4 linked regions of the Pelodiscus sinensis genome follow. The protein of the gene in region 3 interacts with the protein of the main gene of each other region in a pairwise test. Links are inferred from orthologs where the notes say so. Each region holds a gene or a part of one and is shown on either strand. Other genes may lie near its edges. The genes, in order: CCDC198, FOSL2, FHL3 and SNRPG.

The links.
Region 1: the proteins of FHL3 (region 3) and CCDC198 interact in binary tests that used the Homo sapiens proteins (3 or more experiments, as listed by UniProt). The two-hybrid records come from large-scale screens. The link is inferred for Pelodiscus sinensis from reciprocal best matches to the Homo sapiens genes FHL3 and CCDC198.
Region 2: the proteins of FHL3 (region 3) and FOSL2 interact in binary tests that used the Homo sapiens proteins (3 or more experiments, as listed by UniProt). The two-hybrid records come from large-scale screens. The link is inferred for Pelodiscus sinensis from reciprocal best matches to the Homo sapiens genes FHL3 and FOSL2.
Region 4: the proteins of FHL3 (region 3) and SNRPG interact in binary tests that used the Homo sapiens proteins (3 or more experiments, as listed by UniProt). The two-hybrid records come from large-scale screens. The link is inferred for Pelodiscus sinensis from reciprocal best matches to the Homo sapiens genes FHL3 and SNRPG.

The regions. Positions count from the first base shown.
Region 1 is NC_134714.1:10,904,028-10,911,603, reverse strand, and holds the start of CCDC198 (factor associated with metabolism and energy), read left to right. Parts: upstream 1-4,565; coding exon 4,566-4,791; intron 4,792-7,576. UniProt on the Homo sapiens protein: May be involved in tuning the metabolism, energy expenditure, and excretion processes.
Region 2 is NC_134713.1:160,978,216-160,985,323, forward strand, and holds the start of FOSL2 (fos-related antigen 2), read right to left. Parts: upstream 3,002-7,108; 5' UTR 877-3,001; coding exon 778-876; exon of another isoform or gene 655-777; intron 637-654; exon of another isoform or gene 230-636; intron 1-229.
Region 3 is NC_134735.1:10,806,849-10,814,595, reverse strand, and holds the start of FHL3 (four and a half LIM domains protein 3), read left to right. Parts: upstream 1-4,745; 5' UTR 4,746-4,883; intron 4,884-7,747. UniProt on the Homo sapiens protein: Recruited by SOX15 to FOXK1 promoters where it acts as a transcriptional coactivator of FOXK1.
Region 4 is NC_134738.1:2,090,505-2,097,557, forward strand, and holds the start of SNRPG (small nuclear ribonucleoprotein G), read left to right. Parts: upstream 1-4,045; 5' UTR 4,046-4,148; coding exon 4,149-4,180; intron 4,181-4,598; coding exon 4,599-4,621; exon of another isoform or gene 4,622-4,679; coding exon of another isoform or gene 4,680-4,734; intron 4,735-7,053. Other genes in the region: protein FAM136A, read left to right, coding at 945-1,133. UniProt on the Homo sapiens protein: Plays a role in pre-mRNA splicing as a core component of the spliceosomal U1, U2, U4 and U5 small nuclear ribonucleoproteins (snRNPs), the building blocks of the spliceosome.

The sequences.
Region 1 (7,576 bases), on a different chromosome or scaffold from region 3:
CATTAAAGTCGATGGGACAACTCCCGGTGCGTAAGCCTTTGCAGGGTTGAAAAGTAGAACAAGCTTCTGAGCCATTGTTTTGACACGTAATATAGGCTATCACACTAGGTATGATCAGGCTATATCAGGGAAATCACTACTTACAGGGTTCAATTGTAGAATTAAGAAACGATTGTAGCTTAAGGAATTGTAGAATTAAGGAAAGGCTATTTACTTGTTACTAGTACATAAGCACTAGGGGTCACCAAATGAAAATAATAGGTAGAAGGCTTAAAACAAACAAAAGGAATGATTTCTTCACGCAACACACAGTCAACCTGTGGCACTCCTTGCCACAGGATGTTGTAAAGACCAAGACTTTAACAGGGTTCAAAAAAGAACTAGATAAATTTATGGAGGTTAGGTCATAGAATCATAGAATTATAGGACTGGAAGGGACCTCGAGAGGTCATCGAGTCCAGCCCCCCACCCTCAAGGCAGGACCAAGCTCTGTCTACACCATCCCTGACAGATGTCTATCTAACCTGTTCTTAAATATCTCCAGAGAGGGAGATTCCACCACCTCCCTTGGCAATTTATTCCAATATTTGACCACCCTGACAGTTAGGAATTTTTTCCTAATGTCCAATCTAAACCTCCCTTGCTGCACTTTAAGCCCATTACTCCTTGTCCTGTCCTCAGAAACCAAGAGGAACAAATTTTCTCCTTCCTCCTTGTGACACCCTTTTAGATATTTGAAAACTGCTATCATGTCCCCCCTTAATCTTCTTTTTTCCAAACTAAACAAGCCCAGTTCATGAAGCCTGGCTTCATAGGTCATGTTCTCTAGACCTTTAATCATTCTTGTCGCTCTTCTCTGTACCCTTTCCAATTTCTCCATATCTTTCTTGAAGCGTGGCGCCCAGAACTGGACACAGTACTCCAGCTGAGGCCTAACTAGGTCCATCACTACTTATTAGCCAGGATGATAGGAATGGTGTCCTCAGCCTCTGTTTTTTAGGGGGTGACAGGAGAGGGATCACTTGATGATTACTTATTCTGTTCATTCCCAATGGGGTACCTGGCATTGGCCATTATTAGAAGACAGGATACTGGGCTAGATGGACCATTGGTCTGCCCCAACATGGCCATTCTTATGTTAAACTTGCTCACTGTAGGTGTCACCAGGAAATTGCCTATATTAAATATTTTATTATATCTAACATAAATTATATACTATAAACACACTCTCTCTCTCTCTCTTTCACACACACACACACACACACACACACACACTTTTGGGCATCATTTTCCAGTTTTTCCACCAACAAAATGAAAAAAATTGCCAAACGCGGTAAAAACAAATCTACTATCAACAAGTTTCCATAACTGATCAGATTTTAAATTTTGTTTTAATCCCTTCATGGTGTTTTTGGTCTTTTGCTCAGAAAGTTTTGCCGTTTTTTTTTACTATCCAGAGCAAACTGGACATTTTTGACCAAGCCTAATAAATATCTAGCCAACTGGGAAAAATATTTGATTCTGTAAATACTTATTCCATTTTCATATCCCACATGTTCCAGACAGGCCATCAAATCCACATATCCAAATAACACATCTTGTGTTATAGCAGTGTCAAAAAACACCCCCAAACTCTATCTTTTTTTCCCCTCTTGTCACCTGGCATCATATCACCAGATACCTCATGCTCTGTATCCACAATTTCCATTCGATTGTGAAGGAACGTCATAAGCAGAGAAAAATACTTTGTGGTATAAACATTAACTTGATGGAGCAGTAAAAGTGGTTTGTGGATGAGTAAGTTCTGCCAAGGAATGTCATTCCTAGCTGATTGCATTACACAGGGCCACTGCACAATGATGGCAGCTCATTAACTGGCCTCCTGCACTCCCCAAACTCCAGACAAATCTGCCAAATCATTACACTGAAAATGGGATAGAATAAAAGGCCAGAATGACAACTAGGGTGGGGTTAGGAACTCAGAACAGTCATATAGGGTAAAATCCTGAACTCCATTGAAATGCGTGGCAAAATTCTCCTGGACTTCACTGGACTTCCCCACACAGAAGAGGGGAAATCAACTAAGACACAGCACAGCGGCAGCTGATGCCTGACCCTGCCACTGACTTCCTATGTAACCATGGTCAAGTCACTGCACCTCTCTGTGCCTGAGTTCCTCATCTGTAAACTGAGGCTGATAAATAATACTCTTTGGTTACACTGGCAATTCTTCTGGGCTGGGCTTCAGTCTTACCCTGTGTTCGTATAGCTCCTGGCACCATGAGGCCATGATTTTGGTTGGGGGTCTTTGTTCTTAAAAAGCCTTTTCAGAAATATTAACTCCCCTCTCAAGCTGAATTTGCTTCCCCACTCTTCATGCCCCTTTTGTGTGCATGAGCCAGGAGTGGTCCCGCTACTGAGTTGTCATTATAAGACCCTTAAGCTCGGTGCTCACCATTCAGGGGCACTAGGCATGGTCTGCAGGGCTTCATACTATCGCCAGTGCTCCTCCTTACAAGACAGGCCTCCGTAGCCTTTTGACTAGGACCCCAGCAGCTGAAGTTTGCTTCTCTTCTCTGGGATGGCATGCATGACATTCCCAAGCCGAAGTAGAAAGCCTTGATCCAGCAAAGCACTGACACAGTTTGGGCCAGAGCTGTTAGGGTATATAGGTGCCTAAAGAGGCAGACACTCACGTAATGGAATTTTCAGATGTGTCTAACTCCCATTGATTGCAATGGGGGTCAGGTATCTAAATGCTTTGGAAATCCCAGTGGGCACCATAGGCAGGTAAGTACCTTTTCACATCTCGCCTTTGTTCCTTGTCAAAGTCCTCTCCCAAGAGAAGAGTTGGCAATAGGGTGACCAGGTAGCTTCAGAAAAAATACCGGACACACTTGATTGGGGGGCAGGAAGGGACTGGCCAGGAGGGGCCTGGAGGAGGGGGGAGGGAACGGGAAGCAGGGTTGGCAGGGAGGCGGGGGCAGGGGGGCTGGGTGGGGGAGATCGAGGGAGCGGCCGGTGGGATGCAGGGCTGCTCGGGGGAGATCAGGGGGGAGTGGGGCTGGCCGGTGGGGGCGGGGGACAGGGAGTGGGACTGACCTGGGCACATGCAGATCCCAGGGCGCTGTCTGTCCCGAGCATGGTCCCGGTGAAGTACGAGCGAGTCTGACTATGGCTCCACAACGCGCTTGAACCACGCTTAGGAGCACGGACAGGGCTTCTCCTCCTCCACCCCTACATCAGACGCAACCAGAGGCTCCAAGTGCCGATCGCGCCCCCGCCTCCCAGCCACTCCCCTCGCCCCCACCAGGCTTCCATCGGGCACCCAGCCGGGAAACCAGGAAATACCAGACATTGCACATGTCCGGTATTTTCTGAATTTTTTACCTGACAGAGGGCCCAAAAACCGGACTGTCCGGTTGAATACCGGACACCTGGCAAGCCCAGTTGGCAAAGAGCTTGATTAGACTCAACCCAGCATATTGGCCTTATTCCAGGTTGAACCTCTGTGGTCTGGAACTCTCTGGTCCGGCAACATCCATGGTCTGGAAGCCAACAGAGGTTGCCAGTGGCTAGGAACTCAGCCCTGCAGCCGTCTCTGGGGACTCTCTACTCTCCTTGGCCAACCTCAAAGTCTTTCCTTAGAGCTACACAAAGAGAGTGACGTCTGCTAATTTAAGTGGGGATTTGTCTGTAATCATGCAAAACCTGCACGGATGCCGAAAAGGAGCTTCGCCTGCCTAAGAATTAGAGAAGTGGTGGGTTAGCACTGTGAGGAGTGGATAGGGTTGCAAGGTGCAGGTGCTTTGTTAGCACCAAGGACACAAAAGTGCGGGTCTTTCCCTTCTGCTGTTCTCCCTTTGGGGCCACATTCTACTCCGGGTTACACGCCTGCAAGTGAATAGAAGTTACGGGGCCGGAAATGCTCTCAGATATACCAGAGTAAAGAAAAGGCAGTTCCTCAAATGTGGCACTTCCCAGGATTTTTTCTTCTTCTTTGGCTGCAGGCTGCAATACCTGACGCCTTCTCTTCCCACTGGTGCTTAAAGGACAAAATTTCCTTGGTGAGACCAATGCTTTTACAAACCAGCTGGCCGGAGAAGCAAAGAGAAACTTCTCAGGCCACTCCCTGGTTAAATGAGCAGCTACCTTTCAGGAAAAGTGTGTAACATTATAAATAGTTATGGGGGAGGGGAAGACTCTGTTATTTGGTGTTTACCTCAGACTTCTCTGAATTAGTTTAATATTCAAGCGCTGCCAGGCTCTCGGTCGGTCCAGGAAGTGGCCAGCCCAGGTCAATGTTTAACGGGGCTTACCAAATCAGGATTCAGGAAGGAAGGGTTTGGGGAGGCATAGCCATGGAAACTGGCCTACCGGACACCCAATCAGCTCTGCATGTGTGTGGTCAGGCAGACCGTGAACGTTGCCGTGGAGGGAACCTGGGAGCTTTACACACAGGCATTGCCTTCAAAGGGAGCCCAAGGCACAGCTCTGTGCAGCGGCCACGTCCAGGAACTCCTTCACCTAGTCTTTTTATGCGTTGAATGCCATAACTCAGCAAAATGGGCCTGAGCTACTCCAGGGCTCATCATAAGGTGACAAAAGTGGCCCCCGTGCAAACCAAAGAGGATGGGCTTCCTTCTCCTTGCACTGCAGCGGTGTGTGGATTTCGGAGCACCCTGGGAGACAGCTGTGCATGTTCATTCGCAGGCCTGGAGGAGAGAAATCCAGTGTTTCCAAGGCAGCTTCCACCCCTAAGAGAAACTCGGTATGGCAGATGCTCCACAGGTAACCTGGTCGTGGATAAGTGACTGCCCTTTCTACAGTGCTCCGACTAGCTGAGTGTTTGTGCTTTGGAGTTTGAATGATCTCTGTTGACCTGGCTCAGCAGCAAATCGTTGCATTTTAATTAAGACAAATGATGGGAATCTGCAGGTTTAGCAAATGCAATTGTGTGAGTGTGTGTGTACATGTTACTTTAGGCATGTGTCTAGTTCTGACATGCCCTGTGGGGGAAAAAATCAGCTTCTTTTAGAAAACTGTCTCAATTATTTATTTACATCTCAAATAGCCCAGCGCATGCAGTCCTTCCTTGTGTGAGTCATCCTTACACACAGAAAGTTGTCCCTGTGTCCTTGACTTCAATCGGACTAGCTGGAGAAGAGTTGCAGGACAGGTTCTAACCATGTATTTCTGTAGCAACCACTTTAATATGTTTCTCTATGTCTCTACTATGTGTGTATGTAGTTATTCGAGCTACACACCACCTGAGTTAAACCCAAAAGAATTATTCACCATTCGGGCAAGCCGATGTAAATCAAAGCAATTATAAGAATAGTATCAAGTTCTCCTTTTCACCAGTACATCTCAATGTTCTTTACAAGAGAAGCTGAGAATCACAGCACAGCTAATTTGGACCAGGGAGGCCCTAGACCAGAGTCTGTTACACACAGGTCTGGAACGGGAAACATTGCTTTAAATAAGCAAGTAATACAAACAATAAGGGAACCACTCCACCCTACCATTTGTATGTAAATACATCTCCTTTGACTTCAATGGGATTATTCAAATGAGTAAACAGATGCAGGATTAGGTCCTACTTTGTACTTAACAGTGAATTTCATTAGCAGTCACTGGTTTAATGTGCTTAGCAGGATTGGAAATTTTCCTCCTTCTATGCTACGTATAGAGCATATGAGAGGAAATGTACCGCTGCCCTGATAGAAGTCACATTTCAGGAACCGAGAGGGTCTAGGGATGAATATAGATTGGCTCTAGATATGCAGCATGACATTTGGAGTGTTTTGTGACAGCCACAGCACTTAAATAAATACTCCAGTTAGCAAAGAGCTAACCATGGGGTATTTAGCAAGTACATTTATGAAAAGTCATCTCTAGAAGTGTCATATTCCATTACATGTGCTGTTTTTGATAATAATAGTGTATCCCATTTGAATGATGAATTAGCTGGAGCCACTGTCTAACCGAACAAATATCTGTTACACAAAATGCTTTATTTTGTTCACAAAGATTCATTTCAGCTTGTGCTAAATTGCACTTTTCAGAGCAAGTGAGGTCTTTAAAAACTCTCAGAGAGGTAGCCGTGTTAGTCTATAACTTTGAAAACAATGAGTAGTCCTGTGGCACTTTAGAGACTTAGAAAAATATATTGGATCATGAGTTTTCATAGGTATAACCCACTTCATCCTAGGCCATCTGATGAAGTTTTACCCACAAAAACTCATGATCATTTACAGGGCTCGACAATTAATGTAATCGACTCACCCATGGTGAGTAGATTTTAGCCCGGTGCGGGCGTGCAGCACGGTCAGCGCATGTGCAGTGTGCGGTTCCGTGCGGCTGGAGAGCGGGGCTCGCCACCATGTGGCGACCCCTGGTCATTTATATCTTTGTTGGTCTCTAAGGTGTCACAGGACTACTTGTTGTTTCTGAGGTATCTTTGCTATTGAAGAGCAAAGGGAAAAAAAGCAGTAGAATTTCTGAAATTTAGGCAGGGGCTTCATTTGATTATTATCTGTATTGCAGTCATGCACAAGGGCCCATCCAAGATCAAGGTGCTGTTGTACTAGAAATTGTGCAGACCTCTGAGGACAGCCCCTGTCCTAAACCGCTTACTCTCCAAATAGACTTTGATTGTAAACTCTCTGGGGAGCAGGGACGTTCTTTTTGTCCTGTGCTTGTACAACACCTAACACAGCGAGGTCCTGATTCCCGACTGGAGCTCCTAGGTGCTACTTAGGCAACAGGGGCTGCACCATGGGGTGGTCAATGCCAGGTGCCCCCAAGGGAATAAACAGACATAAGTCAGATCCACGTAAGTCGGGGACTGCCTGTACATCTCAAGCCAAATAAATTATGAATAATAATGTTGGGAGGGGAAAGAGAACCCTACAAAGGTGAAATGACTTACCCAAGTTCATGCAGCAAGTCAGTTGAGTATCAAAGCTGGAACAGATCTCAGGTCCCCCTGACTCCCTTGCCACTAACTCGAAGGCCATGTCTTCATTAAGTAAAATATCGAAGTTGCCATGATCAATCTTCCGGAGTTCCATTAAGTGGGTCTAGTAAAGGCCCACTAAATCAAACTCAGAGGGTGCCCCCATCGGCAGCCAGTACTCCTGCTCCTGCACAGAGTAAGGGAAGGTGCCAGGAGCATTTGCTCCTGTAAGTCTTCTACTGTGGGGACGGCAGGCAAACTCGAATATATCTCAACTCCAGCTATTTAATTAACATAGCAGGAGTTGCATTTCTTAATTTGACCTTCCCCTTTAGTGTAGATCTGGCCCAAATCCTAGCCCTGAGCTTATGCTGCATTTAATGTTTTAATAATTCACTGTCTTTGCATTTCTATTCCACAATCAGAAATTGTGTAGGCACTAACTAGCCCTATGGATTTAAGAACAGTCATTTTTAAAAAGCAGAGTTTTGCAATCTAAGTTATAAATGGTTTTTTCCCGATAAATGGCAGGTAAACCTTTTCTCTTGCAAACTCAGCTGTTTGGGCCTTTTTCGCTAAAATGTGAATGTATTTAACTCAGCACATGTGTCTGTT
Region 2 (7,108 bases), on a different chromosome or scaffold from region 3:
AGTCCCAAATTAACTCCAGCAGAGGACAGCAAAAGCCGCGGTGTGACTGACCCCGCAGGAATGGTCGCGGCAAGAGGAGGGTGTGCGTGTCAGCACAGACCCCCGCTGGCAGCAACTGGATGTCTGCGCGGAGACGGGAATTTCAAGAAGTCGAAAGCAACTCGCAAACACGCGCAAACTCCCCACACTTAGCCGCACAGGCGATTAAAAGTTGCCTCGCTCTCCTAACCTGGCGTCATGTAAATCCGTAGATTAGATTCCTCATTATTTACACTCACACCAAAACGCCCAAACTCTTGCAAAGACAGAAGTTGCTTTCCCCCTCCATTTAAGGCGTGGACTCGAAATGGACTCGGGAGTGCCAAAGGATAGGCAGTACCTATTATTCCCCTAATCTCCAACTAGGCAGAAGTCTGATAAAGGCTCTCACAAAGTGGACTGGGTGTGGCGAGTGAACTTTACTATCTAGTTAAGGCGATTTTTTAAAAAGTTAGTACAGGAAGATGGCCCACAAAAAGCACAATAATGTCACACGGATGTTACACACAGATTTCGCACACAACCACACTATAGTATTTTATTCTGCTGAAGAGGAGAGAGACCTGGTTTGAAAGTAAAACTCGGTGCCCAAAGTGGAAGGTAGAACTGTGTTACCTACGGTCCTTGGCTCCCACAGCAGAGGGTGCTCCGTTGCGATCAGAAAGAAAGTTGCACTGAAGGGAAAAGAGAAGCTTGATCATGTCAGTTGTATGGCAAGGTGCATGTGACCACCCCTACCTGTTGTGCTGTCCCGCTGGAGTAAGTCTCTGCGTGGCCTGGGGAACCGCTGCTGCCCCTGGAGGAGGTATCAAAGTTCCCGGGATAGTCCTGGTACATGATCCGAGGTAGAAGCCGGAGAGAAACACGATGTTCTTTCCTTCTCTCTCTCTCTCTCTCACACACACACGCACGCTCTATTTCTCCGCCTCTCTCGCCTGATTTTTTTTAAATTTATTTTCTGCCTTCTAGCTGCACGTAAGGATTTGTTGTTTTTAAATAGTTAAAAATAAAGCCCTTTCCTCAACTTTTTCCTTCACTCAAGACTGGCGAAAAATATTTCCCACTTCACAGAACAGAGGCAGTCTCTTTAATCTGAGGTTTTCGGTGCGTTCAGAAAAAAAAAATAAAAGCCGTGGATTTAAAATTTCCCGCAAAAAGTATAATTAGATGTCTCTTTAAAAAAAGTCTTAAAAATCTATTACATTTGCTCTGAAGAAAAAAAAAGGGAGGGGAAAGACCTAAACACACACGCTTAAAACTTGTCTCTGCTCCCCTCTTCAAACTTCCTGTGAATATTTGTTCTGGTTTTGAAGCTTCTCTGACTCTGTAGTTTTCAATCAAGAGGCTTTTTTGCTTATTTAATTAAGTCTTGTATAAAAGTGCCAGGTCCCTGCTCTAGCCGGACTGGATGAGTCAGTCCAGGATTTTAGCCTCTTGATTTTTGTTAAGCTCTTTTAATTATTGATCTTTACAGTTGTTACCTGCCCTTCTCTGCCCGCGCGTGAGTCTCTCTTCTCCCCCCGTGTCGCCTGCCCCCCTCTTTCTCTCTGCCTGAGTCTCTCCTGGTATCTTGTTCTCTGAGCTCCTTTACTCTCCCTGGATGAGTCAGTGCAATGGCATTAGTTCAACTCCACACTCCTATTATCCATCCCCTCCTCGGAGAGCTGTACCATGTGGAGTCACACACGTCAAACTCCCAGCTCGCCAAGCCCCACCTTACCAGAGGGAGTCGCCCACCTGGCAGGGGGAGGGGGAAATTCACCCCGCCCACAGAATCTGATTTGGCCGAACCCAGCCCACTGCCTGCAAACCAATCTCAGAGCCCCGCGGGGAGAGACCATCCCCTGTGCAGCGGGGGGAGCACCCTGGGCCCAAGCGCGCCTGCTTTGTTACTGTCAGAGCCCACCCACTCCCCCCACTCCGCGGCGGCCTTTAGTCTCGTCCATTGGCGCACGTTGCCAAAGATGGTCATTTGCGTTGCACGACGCCAGCGCGGGTTTCCTTGGTTAGGATGACGCGGCCCGAAAGGGATTCCCTACTCGCTCGCGCCAGATCGGCCCCGCTTAAAGGGGAACCGGATCGGAGCAGGGGAGACGCGGGGAAGCAGCATTCGCTTGCCGCCCGGCCGTGCCAAAACGGGGGCTGGATCCGCAGCTGCCCCCGTGCTGGAAAGGGGGGTGGGGTGCGTGTGTGCACTGGATCCAGCGTTGTCCTTGCGTGGGGAGAGGGAGGGGAGCCGGTCCGTGCGCAATCGGACCCGAGTGTCCTTGGGCGGGCGCTGAAGCGTGTGTGTGTGCGTGCCACTGGCTCCAGCGGTGTCCTTGCCGAGGAGGGGAGGGAGAGCGCGCTCCGGCGGCTGGCTGCGAGGCCCTGCGTGCGGTGCGCTTTGGCACGGCTTCCCCTCGCTGCTCTTCTCTGGGCAGGACACGCTGCCTGGAGCAGGAGCGGCGAGGAAAGTCCGCGCTCCCGTGCAGGCGTTTCTCTGGCGGACGCAACACCCGGCACCTCGTTTTGTAGGGGGCTCGGCTGCGCTAGAGGCGGATTTGTTTCCTCGCCCTCCTAGGGCTCGGACCCTAACGCTGCTCTCCTCCGCCTGCGGGGCTCTACCGCCAAAGGTAGCTGCTGGTCACGAGTAAAACCGCCGTGCGCACGCCGGGGAGGCGCTGCCCTTGCCCTGGAAAAGGCGCTCTCCACGCTTTGTTTACTCAAGCCCTTCCCACCAGCGCGAGTAAACACACAGGGCTGCTGGGGGGAAGGCAGAGCGGTACGTGCGGAAGGGGGAGAGAGTGGGAACTCGGAACAGGGGCCGCCCTTCCCAGCACTCCCCCCTCGGCCCAGCTGGCTGCAGCCAAGTCCTCCCGCGGAGCGACCCAACCGCGCCAGGAGGGGGGGATACGAGCAGAACCGGCTGCGCCTCTCCCCGCCCGGACACCAAAGCATGTTTGTCTCCTTGTTCCCCCGCCAAGTGGCCGCAGAAACACACGTTCCGCCCTGCTGCGGAGGGGCCGCCCCTTCCAGTAATGCCTGGGAGGGGCGCGCTGGCTGGCGGCTGAGCCGGGCGGCGCTGAGTCCAGCACGCAGCGTCACACTCTCCCTCTGCTCCCGCGGCTTCCAGTAAAGCGGCTGCTGGATAACCCCAGCCTCTCCAGAGCATCATGGAATCTGGGCTGCTTGCTGATGCAACGGCCGGCACAAGCCTTTTGCGTTAGCAGCTGCAGCCTGTAGCTGCGGTGATGACAGCTCCTCGGGAGGGAGCTGCAGGGAAGAGAGGCGGGATGAACAAAGATCAACTCCAGTGTTTCCAACTGAGTAATTATAGGGGGTGCCTGTGCAGGGGGGCAATTTTCCCCTCGGAAATGTCTTTGAAACGACAGATCAGCTGGAGAATTCCACAGGCAAAGTGCTAGGTCTTCAGAGGGCTCTTGAAAAAAAAATCTCCAGTGAGAGAGATTACTGAGGAGCATCCAGAAAAGGGAGAAGGAGATATATTTGGCATTTTTGTGGCCTCCTTCCTGTGCAAACTGAGCACCAAGGAAATGTCTCCTATCAGTTCAGGCCTCTATCGTTGGCTCCTAAAACATGCAAACCACAACCCAGCCCAGTGAGGTTGAGTACATCAAGGAAACAAACCACATGTAACAGCTCAGGACAAAGGTTACAGTTAAGCGACACCACCCAGCAACGCTCTACCCATGGTACAAAAATCAGACATTTATTATGTCCTCCTTTGCATGATTTCCTTGTAACCACGTTTTTTTCTTATGAAATGTTTTTAGTATCTCATTAGCAAAACAAAGGGTGTGGAACACTAACAAGAAATGATAATGTTCTTTAAAATGGAAGAGAGATGGTCAACAGAAACCCAACTCATAAAATATATAGATACCCATAACCAGCATTCCCTGTTCTTTAAATTGAGGAGAGTGCATTTAGAAGCTTAATAGTGAGTACACAGTGAGTTTCAGCCACTTGCTTTTCAGCAGCTGATGATGAAACAAATGCATGGAATCCCAATGGTCTGGACTGAGTACCAGAGATGAGGCAAGGAAGGGGAGGGCAGACCAAGGTCAAGCCATACAATGCAACCTCCCCAGAGTACATACCAGAATAGGACAGGACTTGTTCCAGCAATTGCATCAGTCAATGCCTTTTGAGAGTTCTTTAGTTTAATGGAGATTCTGTGACTTAGTGTTGGGATGGATGAGAACAGAATTGTCATGTGCTTTGAGCAGGTGATTGGGAATTAGGCTCTTACTTATGTCTCTATGCCTCAGGTTACCCATCAGTAAAGTGGATGTCCCAATACCATTGCACAGAGGTGGAGTGTGGCTTAATTATTTTTTGTAAAGTGCTTTAAGCTAAAAAGAGCTCTATAACACATCTCTGTTTCTAAATAGGTTAATATCACTGTTTGAATACACTGTGCAGCACACCAGCAATTACAGTGTTCCCCCCCAGGTAGAACCACCACCCTTGGTTGTATGCCAGACTTGGCAAGTACAGGTCATCACAGCACATGGTGTGTCTGAATAGGAACCTGCAAATCAGCATTTCCCTTCATAGCTGTGATAGTAAATATAGAAACACTTGTGACCCTATTATCTTTAGATATGACTAAATCCCACAGTTTCCTGCATGTGACATTGTATTGAGTACTTTGGTTTCTGCAATGGAAGGACTTTTTCCTAAAGCTTTCTAAACAAATCACTAAAGCCTGGAGGAAGTGGTAAGGAGTGGAACATGGAAAAAAATAAATTTTCAGATGACTAGTACTCTGAAGGGTGTCAGGATTCACAATAAGGAGCCTTCTTTTCACTCTCTACCCATGTTCATATTGCTGCAGCTAACATGGTCATCTTCTGCTGCACCGAGCTGATGCCAACCTTGTTACCTTTTCCAGGCTCTGCACAGCTTTGCTCCTCCTGCTTTCCTCCCATAATCCTTCCAAGCTGCATATGCTCTGCCCAAGCCTCTCCTTAATGCTCCCTTTGTTTCCTCCTGCTGCTCTCACCTTCATGTATTTTTTCTCCCTTCTGTTGTAATAGTCTCTTCCAAGAGCTGTCTCCTTCTTCAAATCTCTCTTAAAACCTTTACTCTTTCACAGATCCTATGAAACTGTGATAATGTAGGGTATGAAAAATTTCAACAGGTTTTGACTGTCTCCTTTAACCCTTTTGCCTCAACATTTTTTTTTTTTTGTCTGCATGTGTACTTTTCGCACTATGGTCTATTTTGTATTTGCCTGAATCAGACTATAAGATTATTTAGGGACCTATATGTGATTTGTAAAAATAATAAAGTTTTGTCACAGGATGTATATGTAATAGCACACTCCTTCAAAGATATTCCTTCCCCCTCCTCCAGGAATGGCCTCCAAGGGGGAGAGAAGTTTGGTCTGCAAGGCCCATTCTGTCGCTGGCTGAAATCCATTTGCTTAAATTGTCATGGCTGCACGTTGTGGTGTCAACGGTGGTGATGATTTTTATGATGTGGGCACAATTCCATTAGGAACTGGCCTGAAAACCACCAACTCATTTAGGCTCCCAAGCAAACCTCAGATGGTGACGGTAAATGACTACTAATCTGGGCTGGAGTCAAACTGGCAACCAGGGGGTGAAAAGGATTACAGCCTATTACTAATTCACCATGCCAGACAATTCCCTAGACTGCTATTATATTAATAATCATCCTAGAAGGGAAGATGTCAAGATCAGACTATGGCCAGGCATGTCAGACAGTCTACTGAACAGATATGCTGACTCTTGTAGAGTATAGGACTGAAGATTAAGTAAATCCACTAAAAGACTATAACCCATTCAAGTAAATGGAAATACAACAATCATACTAATTTAGTGACCAATAAAATGTTGATGTTCAAAATTAAATGTGTATATTTTCTTAATCCTCTTAGAGGATGTATACAGCATATCTCCTTAACTGTTAAGGAAGATGACTTCTAAATTCAAACTAAAATCCCATTATGCTCATTTTTCTACAAAACACTCAAAGAGTGATAGTCTTTTCTTCGCTTTGTCTTTACTTTCTCCAGGAAGCACTAACAAAGAATTTTAGCTCATCTTTGGAAGTCTGAAAAGAGACAGCACATCAATTAGATACTTTTTAGTACCTGACAAGTCAGATGTTTAGAAGCAAAAACTCCTGCTGATATTGTTTGGTTTTTAGCACCTTCATTTTCCAAGCAATTGAAATTCTTGGTCCAAATTAGCTGGTCTGTTTCATGCAGCGTCTAACTTTAGAGGAGGTGGGGCTAATGCTACAAAAATAAACCACTGCCTCCAATTTGCATTGCATTAGGAGTAAGGAGGCGGAAGGGAGAGTTGCGTTAATAGGCACTGTGAGATTGTGACGTCCTTTCCCCTTTTGATTGTACGTCAAACAGATGAGCTACACATGCTTGATCTTCACCAGCAGAAAGAGAATTAGATCAGGATGTGAGAAAAATTAGCCTGTAGTTGTTATGAGATGATCAGAGAGAGACACACTGATATACTGAAATAAAAATGTCTGCAAAAGTTTCCTTTGGTTTGGTCATCTCTCTTGGAGTACTGAAATGTTTCCTATTGGGCTGCTATAGAGAAACTGGACACAGGATCCCAGATCCCTTGGATCAGTGCTCTGACCTAGGATAACAAACCCCATGTTCCTGAATGTTTCAGAAGTCCAGCTGGTGGTCTTGTTAATATTTAGCAGGGCCATTAAAGTCAAAGATTATTATATCATAACAACAAGATATCGGGTCCATTTTGGCCCCTCTGCTCCCCACTACTACTGTGAGGAGGGAAAAAATGCATTCAGGGAGCCTGACGGGTGAGGAAAAGGAATGCCACCTACACCCTACTTTGCCAGACCTGTAGAAGATACTTTCCAATGCCCTGCAGAGTGCCAGCCCTTCAGGTGGGGAGTTGAGCTAGCTGGCTTCCACTGGTTTCTCTCCTGATCTCAAACCTGAGGGACAATAGTGATAGAAATGTAGCTGTGTTAGTCTGGTGTAGCTGAAACAAGAAATAGGACTATGTAGCACTTGAAAGACTAACAAGATGGTTTATTA
Region 3 (7,747 bases):
TACTTTGAATGGCCTGGAGGAGGAGCTATTTCAAAATAGCAGCAGTGGAAAATCCACACCTATTCCAAAATAGCTATTTGGGAAGAGGCATAATTCCTCATGGAATGAGGTTTACAAATGCTGAAATAAGATACATTTGCCTCCATTATCCTAGTTCTATTGTATGTCATGTTTCAGTGTATCTAACATATCAAAATTAGCTGAACGCTTGAAAAGTTATTTCAGAATAATGGGCGTTATTCCAAAACACTGCTAGGCTGTGTCTACACTGGGCCACTTATTCTGGAAAATCAGCCACTTTTCCGGAATAAGCTGCGAGCTGTCTACACTGGCCCTTGAATTTCCGGAAAAGCAACGATGCTCTACTGTACAAAATCAGCCGCTATTCCGGAAAAACTATTCTGCTCCCGCTCGGGCATAAGTCCTTATTCCGGAACACTGTTCCGGAAAAGGGCCAGTGTAGACAGCCCAGTAGTCTACATTGGCCACAGACGCTTTTCCGGAAAAAGGGCTTTTCCAGAAAAGCAGCCTGCCAATGTAGACGCTCCTGTTCCGGAAAAACTGAAAATGGAATAGTATTCCGTTTTAAGCATTTCCGGAAATTTATGCTAGTGTAGACACAGCCCTACTGTGTAGACGTGCCCTAAGGTGCCACTGGACTATTCGTTGTTTCTAACTTACTGAGAACTTAAGTCCATTGAAAGACTTTGCTTTTATCTTATAAGACCGTTGGATCTTACAAATTGTATGGTACATTTTGTTCTTTTGATGTTAAGTGCAAGATATCCTGCCGGCAGGAATCTTCTTCATTCTGGTCTGGATTTTAAGCAAGGATCCCAGTTCTATGAGCTAGTTAGGATAGGCCCCAAAGAACACAAGATGAGTGGGCAAAAGTGGCTGGTAAGCCCCTAATATTAAAATGCTTTTGTGACACATCCTCAGAGGATGTAAATCACAATAGCTCTATTTTAAGTCAATGGAGGTATATCAGTTCAGAGCCTCCGAGGATCTGCCCATTGCATGTTAAAAAAGAAAAATCCCATATTCAAGTAAAATTCACATTGTGCAACGACCGCCTGGCCTTTATGTCATGCACAAGATGAACAAAATGCACTAATTCATTCTTTTGTCTGCGTTTACATGTCAGAAATGGGTGATAGACAAAACCTTTGGAACATAAATTAATATGCGATTGACCTAATTAATTTAGAAAAAGGTAGAAAACTAAGATTTTGTAGAAAAATCTAATTTAATTAGATTTGTACAGGGCAGCTAGCAGCAAAAGAAAACTGCTGCATATGGTTGCCAAGTCTCCTAGAAAGGACGGACAAGATACCATTTGCAGCAATGCTGTCCGGTCCACCTAAGTTGGCAGTCCTCCTGTTGTAGGTCTTTGTGAACTGACTGGTGTGCTAAGGGCTAGAAATAATAGGCAGAGGAATGACCCTTCTGAAGCAAAATCCCACAGTCTATCCAGATCTATTAGATAACCAGCAAAGCTTTTACAAGAGACCCATTTGTTCTTAGATGCTCCTGTTCACTGTAAAGGAGCTGAAGAAACAGTCTGGCCACAAAGCACTCAAGACCCACAGCAATTCAGCAAATCAAAGAGAAACACAAAGATAACTGATGCATCTGACAAAGTGGGTCTTTGCCCACAAAAGCTTATGCTCCAATACATCTGTTAGTCTATAAGGTGCCACAGGACTCCTTGTCGCTTTTGCAGATCCAGACTAACACCGCTACCCCTCTGATACTTGAAAGATAACTGAGGAACTGTAACCAAGGAGGAAGTGGCTAGATGCTTCTTGTATTTACATTGTTAAAATGATTTACAAAAATTCCCATTTTTCAACTGTGGCACTCCGTGATTCCTGGCTTGATGAGCACAAGCAGCTCCCAGCAGGTGGTGCCGCAGGGCAAGCGATAGAGGCGATGGATTGAGAAGTTTTCAAATTCCCTTTAAGGGAAAGGATTTGGTGCGGGAAAAGTTTCACAAGGCTCATTCCCTTTCCAGAAGCCACTAGCTGCTGCCAAGATTTCCCCAAAGTACAGCAGCTAGTATATCTCTCTGATGACCCTCAGAAAGAGAACACTGAGCAGAGCAGCTCCAACTGAAAACTACTGCTACTGTGACATTTTATTATATGTTGTTTGCAGGTTTGTTTCTAGCCATATTGGTCCCTGGAAATTAGAAAAACAAAGTTGGGGATGCAATATCTCTTATTGGGCCAACTTCTGCTGGTGAAAAAAGACAAGCTTTCAAGTGACACAGAGCTCTTCATATTTTCTTTGCATATAAAGTTTAAACTGAACTTAAATTAATTCCCTGGTTCATCTACCATTTTTATATCTGCCTTCCTCCCTTACACAACTCTAGGTTGAACTTTCTTCCTATTTTAAGCAAAACCATTGGGTATTAAACTGAACTGATTCCAAAACAAGCTGAGAGTTTGGGTCTTTAATCACTGTCTGTATGTAAAAACAAAACTTAAAGAATAAAAAGAGACCTTATCCATTCCTTGTCTCTTAAGGAGAGAGTGCTACTGTACAGCAGGTACACTATGTACATGTCCACTTTCTCCAGAGCTGTAAATTAAATGGACATGTTTTGTAAGGCATATTGGAAAACAAGTATGGTAAAAATTGATTACAAAAATTAAGAGTGAATGAACTCATGAATAAGGATCCTAATGTAACTTAAATTCCTCCTGTGGTCTTAGAGAGAGAGGTGGTTTTCTGGCCTATTGCAGAACTGAATTTCTCTGGAAGATAAATTGGAATATTTTCATAACTGTTTTTGTCCATGCTTTGCAAATAATTCCAGCTAAGCCTCAGCTATTACTCACCCAGGGCTATTTATGCAGTGTGGTAAGCCTATCTACTTGGCTTGGAGCAGAGACTACTTTAGGGAAATATTATCAAAGGCTGTGAAAGAACACAATATTACCAACCTCACACACAAACCATAGCCACGGGGAACACTATGAAATCCAAATGTAGCTGTTTTGAGTATCTCACAAGGAATGGCAGGGTAATCTTCCCACACACATTACTCTCTGCCTGTCCATTTCTACACTTTTACATGCTCACCTTTTGCAATGGTATCTGCAGGGTTTCATCTAAGCTCTGCTCAGCTGGTCCCCCTCAAAAAATCAAAAAGGGCAGAGGCTACCTAGCCCATTCCATATCACTAGGATGACTTCCCAAAACATGGCCAGTACACACTGGGAACTAAGACAAAGATGTGAACTGGAGGGTTGGGGGGGGGGGGGGGAGAAAACTGAGCACAATGAGATGGTAACAACTTTCATAGAATACTAGAACTAGAAGGGTCTTTGAGAGGTCATCAAGTCCAGTCCCCTGCCTTCATGGCAGGACCAAGCACCATCTAGATCATCCCTGACAGATGTTTATCCAACCTGCTCTAAAATATCTCCAGTGATGAAGATTCCATAACCTGCTTAGGCAATTTATTTCAGTATTAAACCACCCTCACAGTTAGGAAGTTTTTCCTAATGTCCAACCTAAACCTCCCCTGCTGCAGTTTAAGCCTATTGCTTCTTGTCCTATCGACAGAGGCCCAGGAGAACAATTCCTCATCCCCCTCCTCCCTGTGACACCCTTTTAGTTACCTGAAAACTACTATCATGTCCTCTCTCAGTCTTCTGTTTTCCAAACTAAACAAGCCCAATCCTTCAGGTTTGCTTCATAACTCATGTTTTCTAGACAGACCTTTAATCATTTTTGTTGCTTTTCTCTGGACCTCTCCAATGTCTCCACATCTTTGTTGAAATGTGGTGCACAGAACTGGACACAATACTCCACTTGAGACTTAATTAGCACAAAGTAGAGCAGAAGAATAGCATCTCATATTTTGCTCACAGCACTCCTGTTACTGCAGCCCAGAATCATGTTTTGTTTTTTACAGCAGCATCACACTGTTGACTCATATTTAGCTTGTGGTCCACTATGTGGCTGCCCCCTAAATCCAGAGATTCACTCACTCCTGAGCTGTGGGCAGATTCAAACCTTGGCCTACAGGTGACATGGGCTCAGCCCTAATCCCTGCAGGCCCTAGTTTACGGAGGCTGCTTAGGGTGTATTTACACTGCGCCCGGAGCTTGAAATAAGCTATGTCATTTGAGCTACGCAAATTGCACCGCTTATTTCGAGTCAATGTTGACTTAACGCTTTTTTTCTCACCGAAATTTGGCGCTGCCTACACCGCACTTATTTTGAAATAAAAGGCTCTTCCGAAACGTCCCTTATGCCTCGTGGAATGAGATTTACAGGGACGGCAGTAGAGCGAACCCGTTATATTTCGAAATAACGGGCGCGCTCAAAAGACGCGGGATAAGCTATTTCGGGATGCCCGAAAAATTGCGCTGCAGTGTAGACCGGGCCTTAGAGGAGTTCAGGAATCGGGGAGGAAAGCCGTGGGTTTGATCCAGGTCTGGAATGATCCAGGGCCAGAGGTATCTGCGCATCAGCGCCTTGTGGGCGTTATTTAGTCTGTCCCTAAGTCTGCCAGTCCTTACGGTGCTGGGGGAGAGGGTCTCCAGGGTTAGGCACGCTCTTGTGCCAGTGAATACCCCCGGGACTTTGCATGCCCAGTACCTCCCCCCCAGCCCGTTCCCTGCCTCGCTCCCCCCCAGCACCCTGCCTAGTGCCTTCCCCCAGCGCCGGCCTCGCCCCCTCCGGGCCCTGCACCCCCCTCCCAGCCACAGCAGCTCCGCCCCGCGGGCGGGGCAGGGGCCGGGCTCAGTTTCCCCCGGCGGGGCTGGGCTGGCCCCTTCCGCTGCCAGCGCCTGTCCAGCCGCGCGGCGGGTGAGGAGCAGCCAGCGAGCCCGGCTCGACTCGGCCCGGAGCGTGCGGAGCAGGTGGGGGCGCCCCTGGGGAAAGGGGTTCACCTGGGGGTGGGGAGGGGTCTTTGGGGAGACGGCCCCCCCCCAGCTGCGGAGCCCGGCCCGGGCTGGAAGTCGGGGTGTCGCCTCCCCGATGGGCAGGCTCCTTCCAGCTCCCGTGCCCAGCCGCCAGCTGTCCGGGGCAGGACGGTCCTGGTGCCACCCCACGCGCTATCCACAAGGGGCTGCTGCCCCCTTGCTGGAGCTGAGCCCTCTGCGCTCTCGTGGGAAGGTGCAGGGCACCGGGGGGTACCGCTGCCTTGTGCAGATCTGTGCCCTGATGTGCTGTCTGGGGCCATGGGCAGCAGAGGCAGCGAGCGGCAGGGTCCTGGGGGCGAGGGTTTTGGGAGCATGGGCAAGGTCTGGAAAAGTCCACTCACGCTTCTGTATCTCCCCGGAATATTCCTCATCACCCAGTGATGCTTTTGCTGTCTTGTAAACACCTCAGGAAAGGGTCCGTGCCTCCTGATGAATTGTATAGAACTAGGGGCGCTCACTGAAGATAGAGACAGTCCCCTTCCTTGCAAAATATTTGGGCCAGGAGCAAAATACAGGAGCAGGACATTGGTGTGCTAGTGCCCTTCTTCCAGCTCTGTAAATTGGGCACCGGCAACAAAAAAAGGGGAACTCCTATCTCGGTATGTGTGTCTTCACAGTGCGGGGGGTGGGGGAGTAGGCAGTCTTTCTGACTTACAGAAATGCTTCCTCTTTGTTTTGGGATGCTAGGAAGAGGCATTTTTTCTTTGTTCATCCTTTACTCTGCCTAGTGGAGTTCAAATCGCATGTAGAAGGTGGTAGGACTTGCAAAAGAATATTCACCAGTTGAAAGTAGGAAACTTTCCCTTCCCCGTATATGTGGGGGGGGGGGGGAGGAGGTGTTGGAGGGGGCTAACTCATCAGCTTCTGCAGAATCTAAATTGTCATTGTGTTAAAAAGTTCCTCCTCCTTTTAGCAGTGAAGAAAACTCTGTAAATGTGAGTCTTGTGTCAGACAGCTACAGTGTTCCATAGCTGCTGCTTTATCTTGGACTAAGCTTTTAGAGCAATTAACAAGACTCGAGACAGTTTTTCAGAACTGTGATCAAGGGTGAACTCCAGTTGGCAGTTTAAATTGGGGAAGCAGCAGGGGAGAAGGATCACAAAAACCAGGCGCTGAGGGAGGGGTAGAATATCAGAGGGCCTCTCTTCTATTACTCAGCTGCCAGAGGTGAGCAGGGAAAGATGGGGAGTTGGTTTCAAATGTATCAAATCCATAATAGCCAAATGCTGATACAAAGCACCTTGGTAAGAATCTCTGCACTCTTTTCTTTCCTAGCAGTTGGTAAAGGGAACTTAAAGCTCATCACCTGATAAACCGTCTTGTTAGTCTTTAAAGTGCTACATAGTCCTGTGTTTTGTTTCATCTCTTCCCAGGCTTTGTTTGCACTGCAGGGTTTTTGTGCAAGAAGCTTTTCGCGGAAGAGATCTTCTGCCAAAACTTCTTGCGCAAAAGTGTGTCCACACCTCAAAAGCGCATCGCAAAAGCGATGTGGTTTTGCACAAGAGAGCATCCACACTGCATGGATGCTCTTGCGCAATAAAGCTCCGATGATCAGTCACAGAATGGCCATCAGAGCGCCCGTGCTTTTTCTGATAGGCTCTTTTGGTGCAAGAAACCCCTGCAGAGCATACACATGTGCCTTTTTGTGCAAGAGCTGTAGTGCAAAAAGGAGTTCTGCCTTGAGGGGAGAGGAATAACTCTACCTTGCTTGAGGTGTGGACACTCCACCATTTTTTGCACAAAAATGGCCAGTTTTGCGCCAAAACCTTGTAGTGTAGATATAGCCCCTCTGTTTCCATACTAGCTTCTGGTTAGTACATGTCTACTTAACAACTTCAAGCTCTGTGTTTGGAGCATATTTCACAAGAGGGCTCTGAGGGTAATTTTAACTGTTGCAGAATTTCACTCACATCCATTCCAGAGCAGTGAGTGTTGGTTTATTTCCTGTTACCCACATGTTTAATGCTACTGACTCTGGTTTTGCTCTTTCAAAGTGTTTTCACGTGATTTTAAAGTTTTTTTTATTTTTATTCTTTCACATTTTTGCAAAACGGATGATTACCTGTGACACTTTCCTTCTTGGAGTTTGAATGACTTCAGGGAAATGTAACCAGGGATGAATTTGGCCCCAAATGTCTAATCCGTTAATTATAATCTGTGTTTCTATCCAAGGGTAAGTTCTCAGTTAATTATTCACTTTTTATGAATTGTAATCGTGGCACTGCCCAGCCCTAGCAGAAAAAGATTGGAAAGGAAAATCCTTTTAAGGTGAGTTCCCAGTGTAATTTTCTTAAAGAGAAAGTGTAAATTAAGGGCCAGCGGGGTCACAATGCTTTCATTTTGCAATAAAAGGAAGATGACTACAGTGTGGACATCTGGATTTGTTTTTTGAAATGTCCAAGAAGCTTTGTGGCATTTTCTGAAAGAAATATGAGAAAGGGGAGTATTGTGCCTGCTCTAGTGGAATTGTGCTGGTTAAAGTCCTGAGCCTTAAACTTCATCTTTAATGGAAACAGTCCTGAAACAAGACAACAGACTCAAAAGCTAAACGTAAACCAAATGCTTAAACTGAGTTACTTTGAGAAAGTGTTTGTAGGAGAGGAGGGGGTGGTATTTTGCACGCATCCAGATGGCTCAGTGAAATCAAGACGCTTTGGCTTGCCTAAGACTGGTTATTTTGAGGCCTCAGTTATTTGGCTTTCTAAAATTCACCTGGCCGTTTCTTTTAAACAAAGACAACAGAGAGTTTGCCGCTTTAAGCAACAGATCAGTATCTATTCAAAACATTGTTTTAATAAAAA
Region 4 (7,053 bases), on a different chromosome or scaffold from region 3:
ATCCAGGCTCATTAGGAAGCACAGGGTTTGAAAGCGCAGGACACCAGAAAGGAGAACCTCCTGCAAAGAGAACGTGCCTTTTTAGGGTAGATTTTCCAGTGTGAAAGGGGCAAGTCTGAAAGCGAGCAGGCTGGAGGAGTAGCTACACACACACCGCCACCCCCTAGGGTTTGATATTTGGAGGGGAGCCTAAACAAAATGAGTTTGGAGTAGGGAGGTTAAATTTAATTTAATCCACTAATTGACTAGTTGGTAGATTTTTCCATCGACTAGTCAATTGATCAATAAGCAGGGGAGCCGCAGTGGGGTTAGTTCCTGCTGCGGCTCTGCCTTTTAAATGTATGAAGAGCCACCAGGCTGTGCTGACTCTGGGTCTCCCCCCGGCTGCATACCAGCCATAATGTAAAAAGGCAGGAGCGCAGCGGGGGGACCCAGCGCGAGCTGGGAATCAGCCATCCTGGCTCGCACACAATGGTGTTTCTGATTTTTAAACTTAAGAGCCCGTAGGCTCATAATACATTTAAAAATCAGAGGCGCAGCGTCTGGGACTGGACGCAAACTGGGAATCAGCTGATTCCCGGCTTGCACGTGGTCCCCGCTACCCTCCTGCTTTCCCTGCCCCCTGTGGAGACGGTGCTGCGGGGAACCGGCTCCTGCTGTTCCCCCTTGCTGCCTCGCATAGTCAACTAGTCACTTACATCCCTAGTTTGGAGGTCTCATTGCAAATGATGAGAGAAACTTCCAGATTGCAGCTGGTTTCATTCTTCTTCCAACCATTCCCTCCATTATAAATAATTTTGTTCTGTGTTCTCCAACACATGATGTCCACCTCTTAGATAGCAGGTTAAGAGCTCATTTTTCCCATGTCTGCACTTCCTCCCAATACACTTTCCACTTGCTCCCAGCCATTTGAACCTCTAAGTGTCTGGAATTCTCATTTGCAGGACCGCTTGGCTCGCTGCACAATGCACTGTAACGACAAGGCCAAAGACTCCCTGGATTCAGGGAGCAAGGAGCAGCAGGTGAAACAGCAGCTGGAGAGCTGCGTGACGAAGTGCGTGGACGACCACATGCATCTCATCCCCAGCATGACCAAGAAAATGAAGGAGACTTTGGCAGCTATTACACAATAAATCTGAGTTTGTTTTGGGGGAGAGAGGGAGAAGCATAGCTTCTATTAAGAGAGAGACGTGTACACGGAGATTCGTGTTGGAAATTGAAGCATGAAAATGGATGATAAGGGTGATTTTTGTATTTTCAAAGTATTGCAGTGGTCCATTCAACAGCTGGTTTGAAGTGTTGGTGTCTCGGGTTGATTTGAGAAGTGTCACCAGGTGTGGAGAGGACAGAGTAGTGACTTTGCTCCAGTCCTCAAAGGGTTAATGGTTAGTGTATGTATAGACCATGCTGCTAATAGCAGGATCCTCTATTACTTGATAGTACCTTGACTTACTTTGGTTGTAGTGAATTTAGGGCTGCTGGAAGGCACCTCCAGCTGGACAGGCCTGGAGTGTGAGGGACCTTTGTCCCTGGGACAGGTGCAAACTTCTCCATTGCTGCCTAACTAATATGCCTCAATAGTTCCCTGCAAGTGTTAAGAGTCAGATATAAACTGGTGTAGTTCCATTAGTGTCAGTGGAGCCATGCCAGTGTAAACGCTCTGAGTATCTGGCTCCAAAAGTCCACTCTCCCGTATTCTTGGTGGTGATGTGATGGGCAGAGGATCTGAAGTATAACTACCACTGGGTTTGATACCCTAGAATTCAAAGGGCCATAATTCTTGCCTCACTTGTTCTCTGGGCTATTGTGATTTAAAAAAAAATGCTTTGGGGACAGGATTTTTCCCTCCTCAACTGCCCTCATATCTGCAGAACTGATTGTCTAGCACTGACAGGTTCCCCCTGTCCTTCTAGTGCAAGTGCCTTTATGTTAAAGGAGACAAGAGGAAGTCAGGGAGACTTTTTTTTTTTTGCACTGGTAGGTCAAGTTTCTGCAGTTAAAACATCTTGGGTCTCTGTTGCCTCTCACACTGGCATAAATCAGAAGTGATTCCAATGGAATAAATGGAGATATGCCTGTGTGTGAACCTAGTGGAGAAAAAGCCCTTTAACTTCACCTGACCTCATCAGGCCACCAATCCCGTCATATATAATTCTACAAAGAGAACAAGGTCAGCCAGCTAAGTGTGGGTTCTCTGAAGCAATGAGTCACAAAGAACATGGCCTATTGAAAAGGAATGGCCAATACTACATAATGCTCCACTCATGCTGATTTTACATCTGTATTACTCCTGATTTGCAGTGGTGTAAGGAACAGCAGCATTCAGCCTGAAGTCTATCATTAAGAATTATAGCAGCTGTATTGTTCCATGCAGTGGGGCATAAATGTGTCGTCGTTTCCCCCCCCCCCCCCCCCCCGAGCCTCTGAAAAACAACCACCGAAGGTTTTAATAGGTGGAATCTCTCCTCCTTTTTGACCTGATAACTTTTTGACTTAACGCGCAGAGAACCTGTCCTTGATTCTCCCTCATGCTGGTATAAATCAGGAGTTTGCTTAAGTAAAGAATTGATAGCAGTGTTCAGTGCACTACCAGATTCTGTGTGTTGTGGTGCAGTCTTAAGGTGGATTTCAGATCTCATTCTTCCTCAAGCTGCAGGGACAGGGAGCAAGACAGAGGAGGTTGGTTTGAATGCTGGGGCAAGGTTAAGCTAGTCATGGATAACCATTAATAGCTGCCTCAGATATGGAGCTACTCGGCTACAGGAGTAGGCAATTCTGAATCTGTGGTCCTCAAGGGAAATGAACACAATACAGAGAGGTAGTCACCACCAAAATAAAAAGGGAAATGACATCCAGAAAACAGCAGCACCACCTGGTCCTGTCCTTGTGGCTGGAGACAATGTAATGAATACCTTAGGATGGTTCTATTTATTGTGAGCTGAGAGTCCTGTTTTGTTCCTTCTCATGAACAACTGTAATTAACACAACCATTTTGTTCTGTCCTTTTAAAAACGGATTTATTTTCTAAAAGTTTGATTCAAAAATAAATTTTAGATGATAACTCCTCTGAGTTCTTTCTTACGACTAGGCTCATCATTATGGCTACACTGCGAGAAGTGCTAAATGTGGATTTTGTGTATTCTACTGTGTTTTCCTACCTTGAGCTCTTCGTTTTGTATTATAGTTGGAGCTAGTATGTGTCTCAAACACTGCTAACATTTAAAACAGCTCTAGTTCCAACTCCCTGCTTTGGAACCAAAGAGCCAACCTTATTATTAATCCTGTTTAGTGCCTAGGGAAGCAATGCCAAATGGTGTGCTAAGGACTGCACAAATGGAATAGTGGCATCCCAACGGAACAGTCCCTGCCTCAAAGAGCTTACCAGCTAAAAAGTCAAGACAGGGAAAGGGGTGGCAGCAAACGTATGGCAGGTTCCTCCTGGATTGAAATCGGATTATTTGTCAGTCACCACTTTCTTGTGTAAATCGGAGCCAGATCCAAACTCCGCACATGTGGCAAACCTACATTTTGCGTCTACACGTTGTTAAACGGGCCGAACCAAAACAGCGGATCCAGCCCCCTGGAACGTGGTCAGGGCAGGTTCCAGCGCCAACGCGAACTGAAAAGCGAACCCAGAGGGTCGCTACATGCAACAAGCGAGGCCGTATTGTCTAGGGGAGCCGCGCATTCACATTTCAATGAGTCCGTATTTAGGCAGCATTGGTAACTCCGCGGCCGACGGGCCCCTGTGTGGAACCGGCTTTGGCATTATCTGCTTCGATCTGGCTCCCGAGCGGCCACTGCTTCCCCGGAAAAAGGAGATTGGGCCTCTATTCTGTGGAGTACGGCGGAGGTGAGCTAGGTGCCCTCCTCCATGAGGCGCTGCTGACGGGGAGAGAGGAAGCGGCACGGCCCGCATTGGCTGTTGGGTCAGTGAGGTCATCCGCAGAAGATGCCGGAGACCATGTTGATTGGCTGGCTGGTCTAGTGATGTCATACGCAGGCGCCCGATTGGCTGTCGGGGTCCCAGCACGCGGCTTCGGCGTCAGCTCTGATTGGTGGCTGTATCCGGGACGCGGTGACGCCAGAGGCTGGGTTCCGCGCGGAGGAGCGGGAGGCGGTTGTGCGGGGCTGACTGAGAGGGCACCATGAGTAAAGCGCACCCGCCCGAGCTGAAGAAGTGAGTGCGGCGGGGCGGGGCGGGGCGGGGCGCAGAGCGGAGATCGCCCCGCCGAGGGAGGGGCGGCTGGTCGAGGGGGGGGTGTAATTCCAGTAGGACCCACCTTAATTGCCTACTCCCCCAGTATCCCGGCATGCACCGCGCTGCCCAGTGAGGCCTGCCCGCGCGGGGTGGGCGAGACCCCTCCCGTGGTGTGCACATGGCTGCGCCCCGCCCCGCGCATGGGCGTAGCGACCCCGCCCGCTCAGTTCCGGGTGCCCCGCCCCCTGCTGAGCCCGGCACTCGGCGCCTCCCCTGGCCATTGGCGCCTGCGCACAAACCACGCGGCTGCCCGGGACCGGCCCATCTGCCGCGTTGTGGGGGGGCTCTGGCACGCCCCCTTGCGGCCCCCTAATGCGCTGCCTCCTTGTGCTTTCAGATTCATGGACAAGAAGCTGTCACGTGAGTTATTTGTGTGCGCGCCTGGATTGGTTGTGAGCAGCCGTCACGCTGCCATTGGATGGGCTGGGAGCAGCACTGTACACGTGGGTTGTTTGCCAATGTGTGTGTGATAGGTATGACACACCACTAAACAGACATGCTATTCTTAGTATTGAAACAATACACGGTGGCGACGGCTAGACTGGCAGGATTTTCCGCAAATGCCTTTAACGGAAAAGTTTTCCGTTAAAATCATTTGCGGAAAAGAGCGTCTAGATTGGCACAGACGCTTTTCTGCAAAAGCACTTTTTGCGCAAAAGCATCCGTGGCCAATGTAGACGCGCTTTTGCGCAAAAGAGCCCCGATTGCCATTTTCGCAATCAGGGCTTTTTTGCGCATAACAAATCTGAGCTGTCTACACTGGCCCTTTTGCGCAAAAGGACTTTTGCCCGCATGGGAGCAGCATAGTATTTCCACAAAAAGCACCGATTTCTTACATGAGATCGTCAGTGTTCTTGTGGAAATTCAAGCAGCCAGTGTAGACAGCTGGCAAGTTTTTCCACAAAAGCAGCTGCTTTTGCGGAAAAACTTGCCAGTCTAGACACAGCCATTATATCTAGTAATAGAGATGTAGCTTGCTGAAACAAAAGACAGGACTATGCAGCAAGAAAATTGGCATGACCATATGTACCAAAGGGATACAATCCAAAAAAGTGCACGCACATAAAATTGACAAATCTGATTTTAGAACAGAGGGCGGGTGAGGGAGGGAGGTTAGTGTCTATGAGATAATGATATTAAAATCTGATTTGTCAATTTTATATGTGTTCACTTTTTTCGATTGTATCCCTTTGGTATATATGGTCATGCCAATTTTCTTCCACAATTTGATCTGAGGAAGTGGGTCTGGCCCCACGAAAGCTCATCACCTAATAAACCATCTTGTTAGTCTTTAAAGTGCTGTATAGTCCTGTCTTTTGTTTCACATTATATCTGTGGATGTTGGGAGGTTAACTGAATCAAAGATGGTTCTCCCACAATGCCATTTACCCCATCAGGTATCCCCCAACACTTTGCACCATTGAGATCAGCTTTGTCATTAGAAAATAGAAAAGATTCAAAGGCAAAATATATTGAGCTGCCTAGGAATGGTAAAATGTGGGTAATTGTGTAACCCCTGAAAAAATTCAGTGGTTATACCCACCCACAACAGCAGTTGGCTCCCTGTGGAACTGACTGCCGCCTCTGTGCTAATAGAAAGGCAGCAGCGCAGGTTGGCAGCCAGCTCCCCAAGAGTAAGGGTGGGGGGCTTGCATGTAACCGTGAATGTTAACCAATAAGCTCAGGCTTATCTGTTAACTGCTTACACAGTTACACCTTCACATCCCTAGTATTGCACTGGTAGTGGTTCTTCATGTACCAGTATTTAGAATGCTGGTATCCAAAATAAAGATGAAGGTGCAGAACAATACGTTAAGAAACTGGTACCTGCTAGTGTGTTGGATTTTAAGCCAGGTCTACACTAGACCTGACTGCTCGGTTTAAGGTACGCAACTCCTGCTACGTAGACTACGTAGCTGGAGTCGGCTTAGCAGCGTCCCAAGTAGCGGGAGGCCAACAGAAGCAAAGGAGGAATACCGGATGCTGGCAGGGACACCCTCTGCTTGATTTAGCAAGTCTTAAAGACTTGCTAAATTGAACTCCAGAAGGTCGATCATGGCAGCAGTCATCTTCCTTTTAATAATGACTCAATGATAAACATAAAGTTTTGTCACTTGTGAAGTCATGTTATAAATAATGGTAGTTGAAATGTGTATCTTTGGAGCACATTTTCTGTATAAAGTGCTGCAAGATTTTTGCTTCCCACAAGAAGGATGTTTTGTCTTTAGACAAGATCTTTGGCTAATATTTCTTGAAAGATTTTAAGACAAAAATGGGTGGGAGAGTAGTCAAAAAATTGGGGTCCACCTGAAATGCTGCTGTGTTATTTTTGGTGGTGTTTTCCAATGCAGTTTTAATAGAATTGTGCATCTGAGTGTACAGTAGGAAAGAATTATCATGGAGCTGAATAATGTGTTTGGGGCCATGATAGGTGGCTGTTGAGTTGCTGTGTTTATCTCTGTTGATTAAAGTAATACACGAATGACAAAAATGGGATTGCAGTGCTCCAAAACATGCAGATATCATTGGTTTCTGATCTCCAGTGATGACAACTATGCCGTTACTTTTGTTTACGGTCTCGAAAGTGGCTGCATACGTAAATACATTTATATGATTTTACATACGCATTTATGACAAGAATGACTAAAAGTATTGTGTAGATCTTCAGTCTCCTTCAGTAATAAGAAATATGGTCTTGTCCAAATGACTGTATCTCTACAAATTCTTGTCATAACTAATGTATTATTCAGGTTGTATTGTGGTAAGGCCTAAGGACCCCAATAATAGGCTGG